2 linked regions of the Drosophila melanogaster genome follow. The protein of the gene in region 2 interacts with the protein of the main gene of each other region in a pairwise test. Each region holds a gene or a part of one and is shown on either strand. Other genes may lie near its edges. The genes, in order: azot and CG2852.

What was found.
Region 1: the proteins of CG2852 (region 2) and azot interact in a two-hybrid assay, tested with the Drosophila melanogaster proteins (one large-scale study listed by BioGRID).

The regions. Positions count from the first base shown.
Region 1 is NT_033778.4:7,946,337-7,953,313, reverse strand, and holds azot (ahuizotl), read right to left. Parts: upstream 3,476-6,977; 5' UTR 3,426-3,475; coding exon 2,979-3,425; 3' UTR 2,849-2,978; downstream 1-2,848. Other genes in the region: CG30378 (uncharacterized protein), read right to left, coding at 2,365-2,811; CG34431 (uncharacterized protein), read right to left, coding at 6,332-6,977; CG14764 (uncharacterized protein), read left to right, coding at 4,794-5,709.
Region 2 is NT_033778.4:22,640,743-22,648,852, forward strand, and holds CG2852 (uncharacterized protein), read right to left. Parts: upstream 5,603-8,110; 5' UTR 5,530-5,602; coding exon 5,440-5,529; intron 5,304-5,439; coding exon 5,179-5,303; intron 4,793-5,178; coding exon 4,390-4,792; 3' UTR 3,904-4,389; downstream 1-3,903. Other genes in the region: RpS24 (ribosomal protein S24), read right to left, coding at 1-353; Ugt317A1 (UDP-glycosyltransferase family 317 member A1), read right to left, coding at 1,208-2,544, 2,601-2,688, 2,750-2,911, 3,063-3,065; CG30195 (uncharacterized protein), read right to left, coding at 5,951-6,233, 6,289-6,467; CG34446 (uncharacterized protein), read right to left, coding at 6,836-7,021; CG34445 (uncharacterized protein), read right to left, coding at 7,247-7,391, 7,452-7,711.

The sequences.
Region 1 (6,977 bases), about 15 Mb from region 2:
AGTCATCAGCATCACTCACATAAGCGTCTGGAAGGCAGAGAGGCAAAGGGGACGGGTGTTGACCAGGGTCGGGTTCATTTCGGAACACTTTTGGCCGTGCTCTGGCAAACAAAAACTCGAGGCCACTGCTGGCTGTGTTTACGTTTCGCCTGCCAGAGCGTTTACTGTTTACACTAATTAGATTCCGGCCGGAGTCCGGTTGCACAGCCCGATGAGCTATTGGGTAACCTGCGGTTAACCACGGCTCCGAGACCACGTCGCTGAAGGATTTCTTGCGTCTAGGGAAAACTTAATAGATTGCATAGCAAGATGGTTATAAATCATCGCTATGCATTTCATGTTTAGCTACGCAAAGAAGGTGTTCTTTTCCCATCACGTACTCATAAAGGCAATTTTAATAGTGCCCAAACGCCGAGTCTCTGCTTCAAAGTTTACAACTGGCTGTTATCTCAACGAGGTAAACAGAAACCTACGATTTTGCTATCATGACAAACTGAGATAATGGAAGCATTAATTAGTAATACCACTGTTTTGATAGGGATCAACGTATCTTCTCCACCCGAAAAGGCGTTTCAACGCATATGAAGTTACTTTGTCTGTAAACTAGTTCCCACAATTGCATCAAAATCTAAGGCATTGCTCGTTCGTTTGTTAAAATGCATTCTTTACCCAACTGGTTTGTGCACCAGTACTGCTACATACACAACGATATGTGTGTGAATAAATTTCCACATCATACTAATATAGGCTAGCATATAGATTTACAATTAAAGTGATTGACTGTTCGACTGCCAGCACTTGATGCATGTCGAACACTTCCAGTGAGTGCACAATCATTTCTGTGACTAAGACATATTCATAGCACAGCTAGGGTGTTTTCTATTATGAACTATATATTTTTAAAGCGTGCCTATGTATAAATAACAACTCCGGAGACTACCTAAAAGTAGTATAAACTTTCCATGCGGAAGTACGTGTATAGCTAAATCCCACCCTTTTGGATCTTATTCCGAGGGTTCGCTTCGTGGGAATCAAACAGGTGCGCTGGGATTGAATACAACAATTCGAATCAAAACTGTGGGTATACGAAACTCATATATAAGTCGAGCAGAAATTTATTTAGTCAATTAGCCAATTATGGAGTATTGCTGGGAAATAAGCTGAATGTTTTCTTTTTTTTTTTTCTAATTTCAAATTATAATGCTGCCCCATTTGTGACAATTTGTGTCAACTTTCTTAATGGACGACACTAATCAATGACTTAAATTACAGCGAGGAGCGCGGGCTTTATCAATGCGCTTGCACAGCGATTACTCGTATTCCATATTTACCTGTGTGAGGAGTAAACAGGCGCTATTGATTGCCTATAGCCATCGGTTCAATGTCGCACCGCCACTCACATGCAGAGCAATGCAATTAAACTGTAGCTGAACGATAACCTATTTAAATTATCCATATGAAGCGCTAGAAACATATGAACGTCGGAATGACCTCTCGACTTTTGATTAACATTAATAAGTCCGTGGGTTAACTGTAAGTGGATGTAAAATAAAGAAGCTAATGTTTTAATTTTTCAATTAAGCATAATTAAGTATTTTTGGGGTTATTGTGGGTATTTACCTTTTACAAATAGGATTAGCAATGACGAAATCGTGAAATCTTTCCGAGTAATGCATCCCAGCCCCGAAATATTTCTCCGAATTCGGCATCAATTATTCTTTCTCTATACATGATTTTCTTTTATATATGTTCTGAAATCCATGCACGAAGGCGCATTCAAATTTATAAACCTTTCCCCCTTACAAATTATTAGTCACTAGTCACTTGACAATATTTTATTGCCAAGGTGGGCTTTTATAATTGCCGAATGAGTCATGGACAATGTATGTTGTATGCGTATTAAGGGTGCCAATAGATAACAAGGTAATTTAAAAAGAGCAAGGTGCGATAAGACTTGAACCCAAAATCATGCCACTTGTAAACTTGGTCAGACAAAAAGGAAACCAGCGAGTCCAGTCCAGTCCAGCACATGGTCAAATATTTAAATTGGCATCGTAATCAGCGTGGCTCGATTTTATGATTGCTCTGGCCCATCGCCATCACCCTTTCGAATATCCTGGCACTCCCCAGCGGCCATTAGGCACATGCGACCGTTTCGGAGTCACGCGCCGTGCCACATGGACACACACAAGTGGACTTCTTCGGACAAGGTTTAACAGCCGACTTTCTGGCGCTGCGTTGAGTAAGCCAAAGGAATTTGGTTGGGAATTTCAAGTGGTGCCGCCTAGGCGTAGGGAAAACGCGACTGGGTTGGGCTCTTTCGAAAGGGGTTCGTGGTTAATTTGTGCCTTCAATTTGGAATTCCTAGCTTCGCATGGCGGTAACAAATTCGTTGAAGGAGATCTTTCCATCTTTGTCCTGATCAATGTCCTGGAACAACTCGCGCAAGTCCTCTTCGGACATCTTCTCGCCCAGGTTGGTCATCACCATTCTGATCTCGTTAATTGTAAAGCTGTTCACTTCGCTGCGATCGAAGATTTTGAAGGCCTGCTTTAGGCACACCAGACTGTTCTGCTCCTCCAGCCGTTTGCTCATCACGTATAGAAAGTCCTTGAACTGCACCTGCCCACCGAAGTCGGCGTTACTTTCGTTGGCCAGGTCGTAGATCTCCGCCTCGGTGAGACTCTCTCCAAGGGCCCGCATTACTCCGCCGAGCTGTTGGACGGAAACCCATCCGGACCGTTCCTTGTCATACAAACTGAATGCTTCTCGAATTTCTTCAATCTGGGCCTCGGTCAAACTGCCGCTCATTGTTTCCAAAGTGATTTTCTTTTTTTTTTTTTTTTTTGTAGTGGACTAATGTTTCATGTGCTTTTGTCAGTGTGAACATAAAGAATTTAAACTGAACACAGACAGAACGCCGACTTTTTGTTGGATAGAAATCAAGCCAGCCTTCTATACGAGTACTCACATGGAGGCTATCGCATTGTCATCATGTTGACGAACTCCTCGTAATTCAAGTGATTGTCCTGATCCAAGTCGTACTCGCGTATCATTTCTTCCAACTCGTCGTCGCTGAGCTTTACGCCCAGCGCGGTGAACACATTTTTTAGCTCGGTGGTGGTAATGTAGCCATTGTTATCCTTGTCGAAAATTCGGAAAGCTTCGCGCAGCTCGTCCTCATGGTTGGTGTCGCGCATCTTGCGCAGAATCACATTGCAGAACTCCGGAGCCACGATGGATCCGTTTCCCTCCGAATCCACCTCATTGATCATGGACTGAACCTCGGCGTCGTTGGGCTGGCGACCCAGGGCGCGAATCACCACCGCCATCTCTTTAGATGTTATGGCGCCCTCGTTGTCCTTGTCCAAAATACGGAAAGTGTCAAGGATCAGGACTCGCTCCTCATGCGAAATATCCTCCATCTTAACTGGTATATTATAGTTTCTCGGAAGAGTTGTATATTGCTCTGTTTATATGTAGGTGTCAACTGATGTTTGGATGAAACAAGGTCCTGACATTGAACTCAGTGAAATGTGAAAAATGGTAAAATGAACATCCCCCGGTGGCTTCACTGCGCTGCACAGTGCACAACACCGAATGGCACAAAATCAATATGCTCGTTATATAAGCGCAGTGCCGCACGGACAGAGTTGATTGATTCGAATGTCCTTGGGCGAGGAGGCCTTGCAGCTGATCGGTTTCAATTGCGACCCAGCAACGGACGTCAGCTAGTATCTTTCGTTGTTCGTTAACAAAACAGAAGGAGAGTGCCGTTCGAGGAAAGTTAAGGAGTAAGAATGTGTACAATCACCGTCATTGTTCCAACGCACACTCAAGAAAAAAAAGGCTCATCTTTTCGCTATTCGAAATACAAGAACTCAACAGAAGTTTGCAACGCCAAAATATTTGTGTAGAATGAAAACAACATTAGTGAACTTTTATAGTTCCCGAGATCTCGACGTTCATACGGACGGACAGGCAGACGGAAGGACAGACGGGCTTATCCAGATCGACTAGTGATCTGGATGAATAACTCCTTTAGCTTCACGAGTAACTGGTATAAAAATGTAAATGTAAGATTTTGTTCTTGATTGCTTAAACTTATTCGTAAGTTTTGCTATACATTAAATAATCTATCTATGAATCAGCATACCATACTATTCATACTTAACAAGAGTGTTTTGAGTGTACTGCCATACAAGTGTAGTGGTTGCTATCGGCACAGAAAGGTTGTCATGCGATTTGGGTTTGGCGCCTAGCCTGCAACTTTGGCGGCTGCCTTTTTGCCGCAGGTTAATTCCAGTGCTTCTCCCCCTCGGCCCTTTCACCTGACCGCAGTGGGACACACCTGACACCGGTTTTTGGCTGCCGGAGGAGTGGTAGTGCCCGGGGGGGTGGGCAGAGAATGCGGCACGCTTTACTCTGGCCACAGTCTAAGCAAATAATAGACAAGAATTTGACATCGGCACGAGAGGGTTCCATTGTGCGGCTCATTTGATTTTTGGTTGTGTTTGGGTATTTGTTTGGGCTAGTTTCGGCGAAACAGAGGAAGTGTGCTAGAGGGCCATAATGGAAACATATCTCACATGTGTGTTTCGGAATTGTTCCTATGACGAGGCAAATTCTGGCCATATTTTTTGACCATTAACGCCGCCTGGCCCGACATAAATAATTTTCTAAGAGTGGGGTTCGGGAACCGTATGTCAAAACTTAAATAATAAATCTCTTGTTTATTTCTTGGATAAACCAAAAATATTCATTTATTGCAAATTTAATTTTTTTTCTTGCAGGAAAACCTCCGCGTTGGCTTGGAACGCAAAAAGCTCGAAATAGACCCAAAGTATTTGCTTCTTCTGGGCTTCACCTCGTCAAATGAAGCTACAGGCCAACAGCAGCAGCTGGATCAGCAAAATGTGGTGGACATCGGTTCACCAGGTCAGCAACTGCCAAAGACAGATTTTTCAGCGCCGGCTACAAAAGCGGAACTGGAGCTCAGCGAACTGCGAGGTCTGCGGCGTCCACAGGATGCTGTTACCTTCGGTAGTCAGGCAGGAGATCAAAAGGGGCAGCGGAAGCGGATCACGACGCCGTACAACGGTACAAAGAGCAACTTCACAATCGTCAGCTATGTGCTGGAGGGGCAGGCCGCATCGGCCATCCTGCTGGCCCAGAATATTGCCGCCAAGCTTCCCAGCGAGTACCTGCTAATCTACGATTTGGGCGTTTCCGAGGAGCAACTACGGGATTTGGGCGCCTACTGTAATAACAGCCGATGCTCGGTGATCACCTATGATCTGTCGGAGTTTCCCTCCTTCGTCGCCGATCAGCGGACGCACGCCTACCGGCCCATTGTAATTAAGGACGGTCTTATGCGTGCCCGATCGGTTCTCTTCTTGGAAAACAGCATGCGCGTGCGCGGAGGTTCCGCCCAGCTGCGAAGTCTGCAGAGCATCGTTATGAATCCAGGAGTGGGAAAATCTGCAGTCAAGTCCGCTGGAGTGCTCGGATGGAACACAGCGACGGCGGTATCCTCTCTGACGCATCCAAAAATGTTCGACTACTTTGAGTCGAAAGCTGAGGAGTTTAACTTTCTTCGGATGGTCGACCTGGATGCTGTCTTCTTCTCGGACAGCTCCTTGGTGGCCGAGAAGATCATGCTTCCCTGGCTGAAGTGCTGCCTCACCCTCGAGTGCATCGATCCGATCGGTGAGTCGGGTGGGATGGGTGGTGGTGGTGGTGGTGGCGTCATAGGGATATGTAAAACTGTCATTAGAAATGTTCCTCAGTCACTGCCTGACGCCAATATAAATCAATCAAACGTACGTTCAAACCTCCAACCCCCAAGCTCTCCTTCGGGGCTAGGCTCGTGTACTAATAACTGTCATTTGCACGGCATTCCGTTGATGGCACTCACATCGGGGAAATTTATGTAATTACCACCTGAATTGGGATTGATGGCAAAAGTGACATTGCCTTTCTTAACGAACAATTCATTTTTATTCGACCGGCATTTCCCAAACTAAGTAGTCAACAATACTCACTTTTTGGCTGGTTATTACATATAATGCTTACCAAGCATAGGTGAATTTTTAATAGAAATAAGCTTTCATTTCCTTGAATTCATCTGAAATGAACTCTGTGTTCACTTCCTGGCACTCCTGGCGAATTAAACACAGAGCTCATTTTTAATTGATGAATCCAAAGAAAGAAAATGCTTCTTTTCCAATTTCATTCATTTTCTCGCGCATGTTATATGCAGTCAAATGCTCATTTCTGTATCTTCATTGATTGACTAGATTCAGATACTTTATAGTCGACAAATTTTCGGTTAAGGATCAAAGGTATTTGGAAATATTCCATTCGTTCGTTGCTCGGCTTCAAAAAGTGTTTGATAACAGCGTGATATCATTTTTGTCACATCGAGTGCCTTGTAAGCCTTTAATAATTCTCGTGTGTAGTTTTCAAATCGAAGGGGGGATGTAAGGTTCTCAAGGGTTTCGGAAATGATTTTGGGGTAACGAGAATACAAATTTACATCTTTGTGACTTCTGTGTTTCGCTTCGCAATCGCTTTGATTGGGCTTAGTTATGGAGATTAATTCCCTTTTTTCTGAAACAGGTGCTTTTAACTTTCTTTTCTTGAGATTTTCCATATAGTATTGTCGTTGATTCAAAAAATTTCTTTTCATTGTCATTTCCATTAGCAAAGGTGATACTTTTTCAGTCCTATACTTTTGCAACGAACAGCAAATTTCACACTCGCATTCAGTCTGTGTACCTGCGTCAGTTTTGGGAACGAAAAGTCGTTTAGATCGTTTCTTTCTTCGACGATTGGGTGGTTGGGGTTTCTCTTCGGCCAAGGGAACATACTTTCCTTGATAGTCATCGTAAGTCAAAAAGTCCATGGGTGAATCTCTGTCGTCTAAAATAAACAGTTCTGCATTCGCCCTGGACTGATTTATTCTTTTGATCGAC
Region 2 (8,110 bases):
ACCTTCTTCATCCTGTTGCGACGCTCCTTGCGCTGCTTGCGGGTCTGCTTCTTCTGTTCGAAGAGGCCGTGACGGGCCAGGCGGTACTTGGGCTCGAACTTCTTGGCGAAGTCCAGGGTGTCGTAGATGAGGGCAAAGCCGGTGGAGCGGCCGCCACCGAAGTTGGTGCGGAATCCGAAGGCGAAGACCACATCGGGGGTGACCTTGTACATGGCGGCGAGCTTCTCGCGGATCTCGGTCTTGTTCACCGACGACAATCCTGGGTGGAGGACATCGCAGACCATCTGTTTCCTGGCGAGCAGGCGGTTGGTCATGAACTTGCGGGTGCGGATGGTAGCGGTTGTACCGGACATTTTGACGGAGCTGCAAAAGGATGGTAGAGGTTTAGCTTGGGCCTTTCATTCAAACAAAATGCTCGCCAGTCCGGATTGTTTTTGTCGCTTTTGAGCGACACAACATAACCTCACTGGCAGTGGGTGCTCCATGTCTCCACGTGTGACATGTTTCTGCGCTCATTCGCCGTCCACGGACACTGCCCTCAATCACGGAGCTATAAGCATTTTGGTGGCGGTCTTTGCCTGCATTTTTAGGCAGTTCTGAGAGTAATTTACCTTTTAAAACACTTGAAAAGGTTTTAAACACGTCGTTTTGCGAACGCGATTTATTAGAAAGGAAGATGGCCGTTTCAGAGATGGAAGAAATGGCGATGATTCGATACTATCGATATTTAAAGACTATCGATATTTTTCGTCCAACTGTTGTTGCCAGATCGTAGTGTATATTTGAATAATAAAAAATCTTAAGTAAGTTATGTTAATCTCAATACACTAAATTGTAAAATCACCTATTTTAATATCGATCGAGTATCAAAATACCCAATAAGCATTAGTCAATAGTCTACTCATAAAGCTATGACAAATTTACGTTTATTAGTTTTTTTTCCTTTGAGCGCCAAATTGAGTTACGATTCGCTATTAACATGTTTTGGTCAACTTTATTTTTCTTTGTTCCCAAATCAATATAATTATAATTATAATTAATATAATTATTATTTTGTACGAAAAAGAAGCCAACAAATCTTGACTTTCTTGAATGGCAGCAACCAACTTTCTGATGATTCAGCTTTTCTTTCATTCATGTTCTTGAGAATGCATTCTTATTTTTCATAAAAAACTGCTCAGAATGCACTTTATTCAAAACTTTAAACCTAATTTACTTTGGTCGACTTGGAGTTGTTTTTCTTATTCCAAATATAAAAGCCGCCAAAACTCAGGGCCACCAGTAAGCTTACGACTAAAGTAGCTATTCCGGCATAGAACACGAAGAGGTCGAACAGGTGCAGCTGGCAGGAGGAGATCCCAATGCCTCGGGTTCTCAAAGCCGATCCTCCCTTGTGCCGGGCCACATAGTTCACCCAGAAGAGAGCGCTGGCCAGAGCGCCAAGAGGACGGTCCCTGAACTCCAGAGACACATCCCGGATGGTCAACTGGAAGTGTGACTCGAGGAGTAGCCTGTCCACTGCCCAGTTTAGTGACTCAGTTGTCACATTGCCCTCCTCCAGCTGTAGGCCAACTCCTAATCGCACGGCTAGCTCCATGTTCCGAGCTTCATGCTGGAATAGGGGCAATCCCAGAATGGGCACATTCCGCATGATGCCCTCCTGCAGGTTGAGCAGATCTCCATTGGTTAGGAAAGCCTTGACTCTCGGATGCGCCAGGATGTCTATCTGCGGCACTGCATGCTGGATCATCACATTCTTTGGCAGTCCCTCCAGGGTCTTGACGTCGTGACAGGTCCAGATTATGCTCTGCTTTCTGGCGGAGAAGAAGGCAAACAGAGTGTCGAGTTTCTCCTTGGGTAGCTGGCCACAAGCCTGCTCATTGCCCAGTTGAACGTAGATGGCTCCAGGACGCGCCTCCTCCAGAAAGCGCTTCACATTCCAGGGCAGCTCCTTGGGACCACGGATGTGAAGTCCACCGGCGGGAATTATCTGTTGGATACTAACTTTGGGAGTTATCAATGGCACATGACTATTGAGCAGCAGCACGGATAGCTGGCTGGCCTGCAGCTCGGGGATAGAGCTCTGCAGCTGGAAGTACTTGGTCACCAACTGCTCCTGACCGCCGTAGTGATCCTTGATGAACTGCTTACGGCGAGCAATACATGTCCGAATATTTCCCAATCGTACGGAGAAGCTCATTTCAGGTTGATCCCGCTCAAAATCGATGGGTGAACAAGCGGCTGGTACCAGTGCCTCTTGTACGGCATCCATGTAGTTGCCGAAGTCCGTGGAAATAATCCCTACAACTGGCCGCTGATGGAGAGCTCCCAGTGCCAACAAAGCCTCTGTGTAGAAGTAGTCCACAAGGATCACATCGAAATCGAACTCAAGATATGACATCTTCAGCAGCTTTTGGATGGGCTCTTGGGCGAGGAAGTGGTCCAAAGCACGCGCTCCAACGCTGGCCAATGACTGGCGGAGTTTTTCAATTGGCAGGAGTCCAAGATCAGCAAGGTTTCCCTTGGGTGCCGCCTGTTTTTGCACTGTATGTGGATATTGCTATACTTCGTGAACAATCTTCTCCAGACGGCCTACTCACATTCGCTCCAAAAAGGAAATTCCGCTGTCACCGTTTCGGTAACGTTATCCAGAGATTCTCCCAAACCATGACCGGTATATACTTCAATCTAATTCAAACAACATTCTTTTCATTTCTTAAACGTTTTAAACGACAGCACTGCCACTTACTGTGTGCTCGCGATTGGCCAACTCGGTGACCAGAGTCCGCATCACCGCAAAGTGACCCTCGTTGACATGGGGAAACAGTACCAGGATCTTGGCTGCCTGTGAAATCTGGCCCAGAGCTAGTCCCAAAATAGCCAGCAAGATCCAACGATTCCATTGAGATTCCTATATGGTTTAACATACACACAACTAATTAGGTCATTTCCGAAAGTACACATCATCGAATTAAAGACAATCTCTTCTTATCTGTCTTCCAGTAGCTTCGAAACTATTTGGATGACACTTTTTCTAGAACTTCTTGCATCCGTTTACCAACCATATTCCCTATTATCAACGATCAGCTTGGGATTATACTTAAGTTCCGGCCGTAATGCAATTGCATTCGCCGGTAAACTCTTCCGGTTGTATTGAGTTTACGAATGAGACTGAACTTATCGCTCCCAGCGCCTTGACTCCCCACAAAAACAAAACACTCAACTGATTGCTCTCGGGAATATAATCTTAGAAGTACGTCCAGAATTTCTGTGGTCACTGGAACATGTGTGGCACATGAGATTGCCACCAGACCCCAATACACATGCGTTTCATATAGATCCTATTGCTTTCATTAATGTATACACAGCGATTGTGGGGTCTGTGAAAGGGGTACAATTGCACATATGTACGTCTTCATATATATGTACATATACGATTCCCCACATTTGAACGATATGAGATCGTCTCTTCAGTTCTTGGTTTCTCTCGCTCTAAACAAAAGATTGGGGGACGTGAAGTCTAAGGATTGGCAGACATATGCATTTCTAGACAATGTTGTTGCATTTGAGTGCATTCGCTAATTGTAAAAGTTGCCAATTCATCAGCGTCTGAGATCTGAAAAATTATGCTATATATAATTAGTTACTAGAGGGCTGGTTTCGGGCTTTCACCTCTATATACATGGGATAGTATAGTATGGTATGTATATAGTAATCAATATTTAGTCCAAGGGTTGTGAAAGGAAACTTTCTATAAAGAACAGGATACTTGATCGAAAGATGAGCCAGTGGCACTTATTTAAGTATCAATCGACCCGATTAACTTCTGCAGAGACAGTCATGCACCTGTTCATTCAATCATATACAATTAGTTCCCAGCAGGCCCAAACAAACTGAATAAATATACAAATGAACTCGTCTGTGTGTTCTTTAATTTGTCGCAAGTGTGCAAATCAGAAAAATGTGACGAACCGAGCGTTGTTTATCAACAACAAAGAGAAAAAACAGACAGAACATGGGCAATCTAAATCGAGAACGGCACAACATACAAAGGCAAACAAATTGGCGAAGAAGGCACAAACCGGTTGCCACTAAGGGAAGTCAGAGCCAAAAGAAAGCGATGGAACCAAAACCGGTTCATTGAACCTGCACACCACCGGCATCATGGTATAGACACACAGAACGATTCCAGCTCTTTATCACACAAAAAATCATTCTTTATTTATGCCATTTCTGTTTTTAGTTGAGCACAATTACTTGCTTACGGAACGAAATGTAAATAAACATGGCGAGCTATGGTAAATGCAAATGTCTGGAAAAATCGATTATGCGTTTATGCTTAGTTCAAATCGGTTATGTTGCTGATGGATGACATGCTCCCCAAACACTTTAGTCGGTGGCATCGGCCTTGGCCACGGAGAAGGCCTCCGAAACGGGCAGGGTGCCGCTGTTGGCGATGACCACATCCTTGACGGGACGGTCGCGGGCATCAGTGGCCGAGTTCTCGATCTGGCGCACCACATTCATGCCCGACAGGATCTTGCCGAAGACGACGTGGCGTCCATCCAGCCAGCTGGTCTGCTTGGTGGTGATGAAGAACTGCGATCCGTTGGTGTCCTTGCCAGCGTTGGCCATGCTCAGCCAGCCGGCGCCATAGTGCTTCAGCTTGAAGTTCTCATCCTCGAAGCGCTCGCCGTAGATGGAGCGACCGCCGGTGCCGTCGCCCTTGGTGAAGTCACCGCCCTGGATCATGAAGTCCTTGATGATGCGGTGGAACTTGCTGCCCTTGTAGCTGCGGGGTATAAGAGCGTTGCATGATGGTCAGTTTTGTCAGCATGGGAATTTAAATTTAAAAAAAAACTGGGTTTAGAACTCGAAACCTAACCAAAAAAGAACATGCATACTTATAAATTCAGAGAAGAAAAAAGAAATACCCAAGAACTGCACTTTTATAGTATGGTAGACTTAATAACAGTTGGCGTTCTTTGTTAACCCATTAGTGCCGCTTTGTCAACTGATGTATGCGATTGGCCGCTCAAACGCCACGTAATTGCTTCAATCTGAGAGCCCCGCTATAACCTACAAAGTGCCGCTGATTAGCGGCATCTTTTGCTGGCCTAGCGGTACCTGGCACCCTACTATGTTGGGGTATTTTCGGTACTCAAGTACCCTACTCACCCCTCGCCCTGCGGCTTCAGCGCCAGCTCCTTGAAGTTCTCCACCGTCTTGGGCACCGTCTTGCCGAACAGACCGATCTCGATGCGACCAGCGGGCTCGCCGCCAATGGTGATGTCAAAGAAAACCTACGCAATCGGAAGCGGTTTATTATTAACAAGTCATCTCACTTGATTTATGGCGCAGCAAATGTGTGTGTGTGTTTGTGTGTGTATGTACGTGGTGTATGCAGAATGTAAGGACGAAAGTCCAAGGAGCACGCACCTTCTCGGTCACTTTGGGACCCTTGCTATCGTCGGCAACAACGACGCCGGCCACCAGGGCTACCACGAAAACGGATAAGAACAGCTTCATCGTTCTAAATATTCACAGCGCTTCAGTTTATTCCTCAAGCGACGTCGCCAATGGATATTTCACGACTGAATTTTCGGTTTCTGTTAGTGATGTAAGAAAACTTTGTTGCATCGCCAATCGATGTTTTCCATCGTTTTTTATGTTTTTGTCGAAATATCGATGCTTAAGTGTGACCATTCGATGACGATGTCTGATGATCACACATTCGGGCGGAAAATTCAAATTCAAATAGTTAATACGCCGAAAGCATAAGTTAAGGTTTTCGTACGAAGGAACAAAGTAAGTTCGAAGAGTTGACTTTATTGGTATAGTTTTTAATATTTTAGGGATTAGAAGTCCAGTTTGCATTAGCACGTAGCATTCTCTCTTGTTTTATTGACGGTTCTGTACACAAAAAGTAAGTAAAAAAATATGCTTTTATTTATTGGTGTACTGCTATTTGCGTCTGAGATTTGTCCATATCCTTGGCTGCCTTCTCTGCTCTCTTCTTCTCCCTGCTGGCCAGAACTTTCTCCCTGGATTTCTGGGCCCTTTCAGCGCAATCCTTGGGTCGTGTCTTCAGGGTCATATCATCCACGGCCGCCTGTTTACGGGCTGATCTCGAAATGCATCGTTCCATGCAGCTGATGGGCACAAATCTTCCAATGAAGCAACCGCAGTGTGAACAATAGTGATTGATGTCCTGGCGGCCAGACCATTTTTTACTGAAATAAAGTGAACATTACGAAAGATTTATAAAGCTTCATGCAGATGGCCAACCAAAGTTTTGTGAATCCCAGAAATCTCTGCAGGCAAGTGACCAACTCCAGTTGCACCAAACTGGTTCCAGACTTCTCACACGAAGGACAACGGATCCAGGTGGGCTCCTCCTTCAGGTATCCCACTTGTGGCTTGTGGCTGACAATGATGGCCACAATCTGCGGTTCGTCCACGGTCATGATGCGAGTTCCAGCGAGAACGATCGGTGACTGAAAGATGGATCAAATTTGGAGAGATCATGGGAGGGAAAATCAAAATCAGAATCACTCTCCCGATTTCTCTTAACCGAGGCGTTGGTCTGGTAATTAAGTTAGTGCATGGAAATCAAATGAGTTATTCTCTCTGCGTTACAAATGCCATTGGATGTACAGTGTAAAAAGTATAGTGTACATTTTGAGCATTACACATTAAATAGTAAACTTTTATTCGTTTCAAACAGCAGTATATTTATTATTATTATTGAATATAAATTAAATGACAAAACTGATCTACATTTGTTCATTGTGTTATAATAATTCGGATCCGATGATCCTTCTTCAGTGGGTATCTAAAGTTGTGGACGGCGGTATACGCCCAGGTACTCCCCGCAGGCACCGCAGTGATGCCTCTTGGTGCAGCAACGCAGCCAGGAACGCACCACACGGGTCTTGGCCTTGGTCCTGCAATAAGGACACGTAATGTCGTTGGGGCCGGGGCCCACGGCAAAGTAAAGTGGTTTCGGATCCTGAGCCATTTCGCACCGAAAGATGTTGACTGCTTTAAAAACAAACGCAGACTGAGGCTAGCGAAGAGAAATTGTAGGAATAAAATGTTCAAATGATATGCAAAGAGAAAAAAATCGGCCCAAAAAAGAGAAAATGTGATATTTTTGGCTTTATTTTTGTTTCGATGGTATTGCAGTAGTGGGTGGGAAATTGAGTGTTTAGAAGAATTTTAATAAATATGTGAACAATGCTGCCTAGGCGGTGGTTGCCTTCAATTTGAGTGGTTGCCTCCTCTTCATGGAACGTCCAAAGTAACAGCCGCAATTGCCGCAGTAATGACTTCGATCGGTTTGTTTGCACGGCACATAGTAATTAAAGCAGCAGCAGCAGCAGAAGGTCCTGTAAAAGTATTTTATAAGTTTACGTTTCCAAGAAATAGGAGAAAGTAAGGCAACCTACACAAAAAGACATCCCACAATGCGGTTTAGTTCACTGGCCCACCACTTCAGATCATTTTGCACCACACTCAGATCCTTGATTCCGCAGGCGGGGCACTCGATCTCCACGGGCTCGCGTGGCAGGTTGAGAAAAGTGCCTGCCAGGGGCGTGGCAAAGTTCTCGTAGATCTTGCGCTCCTTTCGGTCCTCCAGAGCCTTGGCCTCCCGCTCCCTGATCTCCTGCTGCGTTTCCGCTTCCTTCTCCGGCAGCGTTGTCGTCATGATCGCTCAACAATCGAACTGAAAGCGAAACGCTGCCAAGCACGCTGGCAACCTGTTTCCAAACTCAAAAGAGAACGTGAGTGCACAGAGAGAAATAATATGGAATTTTTGGCCAATATATTCCCCCGGTTTTCCGCCCAAAAATATGCAGTTTTTTTGATCGAAAAAGTAAAAATAATGAGCCAAATATGGAATGGGTTACATCGTTGAATTCATAATACAATTTTCTATCGACTGGTGTTGAAGCCTTAGATTTTCAAATTTTCGCCTTTTTTTGCATAATATCATGATGTTACCCCTTATAAAAAATGCGAAAATTAAAAAAAAAAAAATTTTGAAATCAAACTAAAAAGTATTTTCCTTCGTTAGTTTGCTTAATTAGGTGCACAAAACAGTATT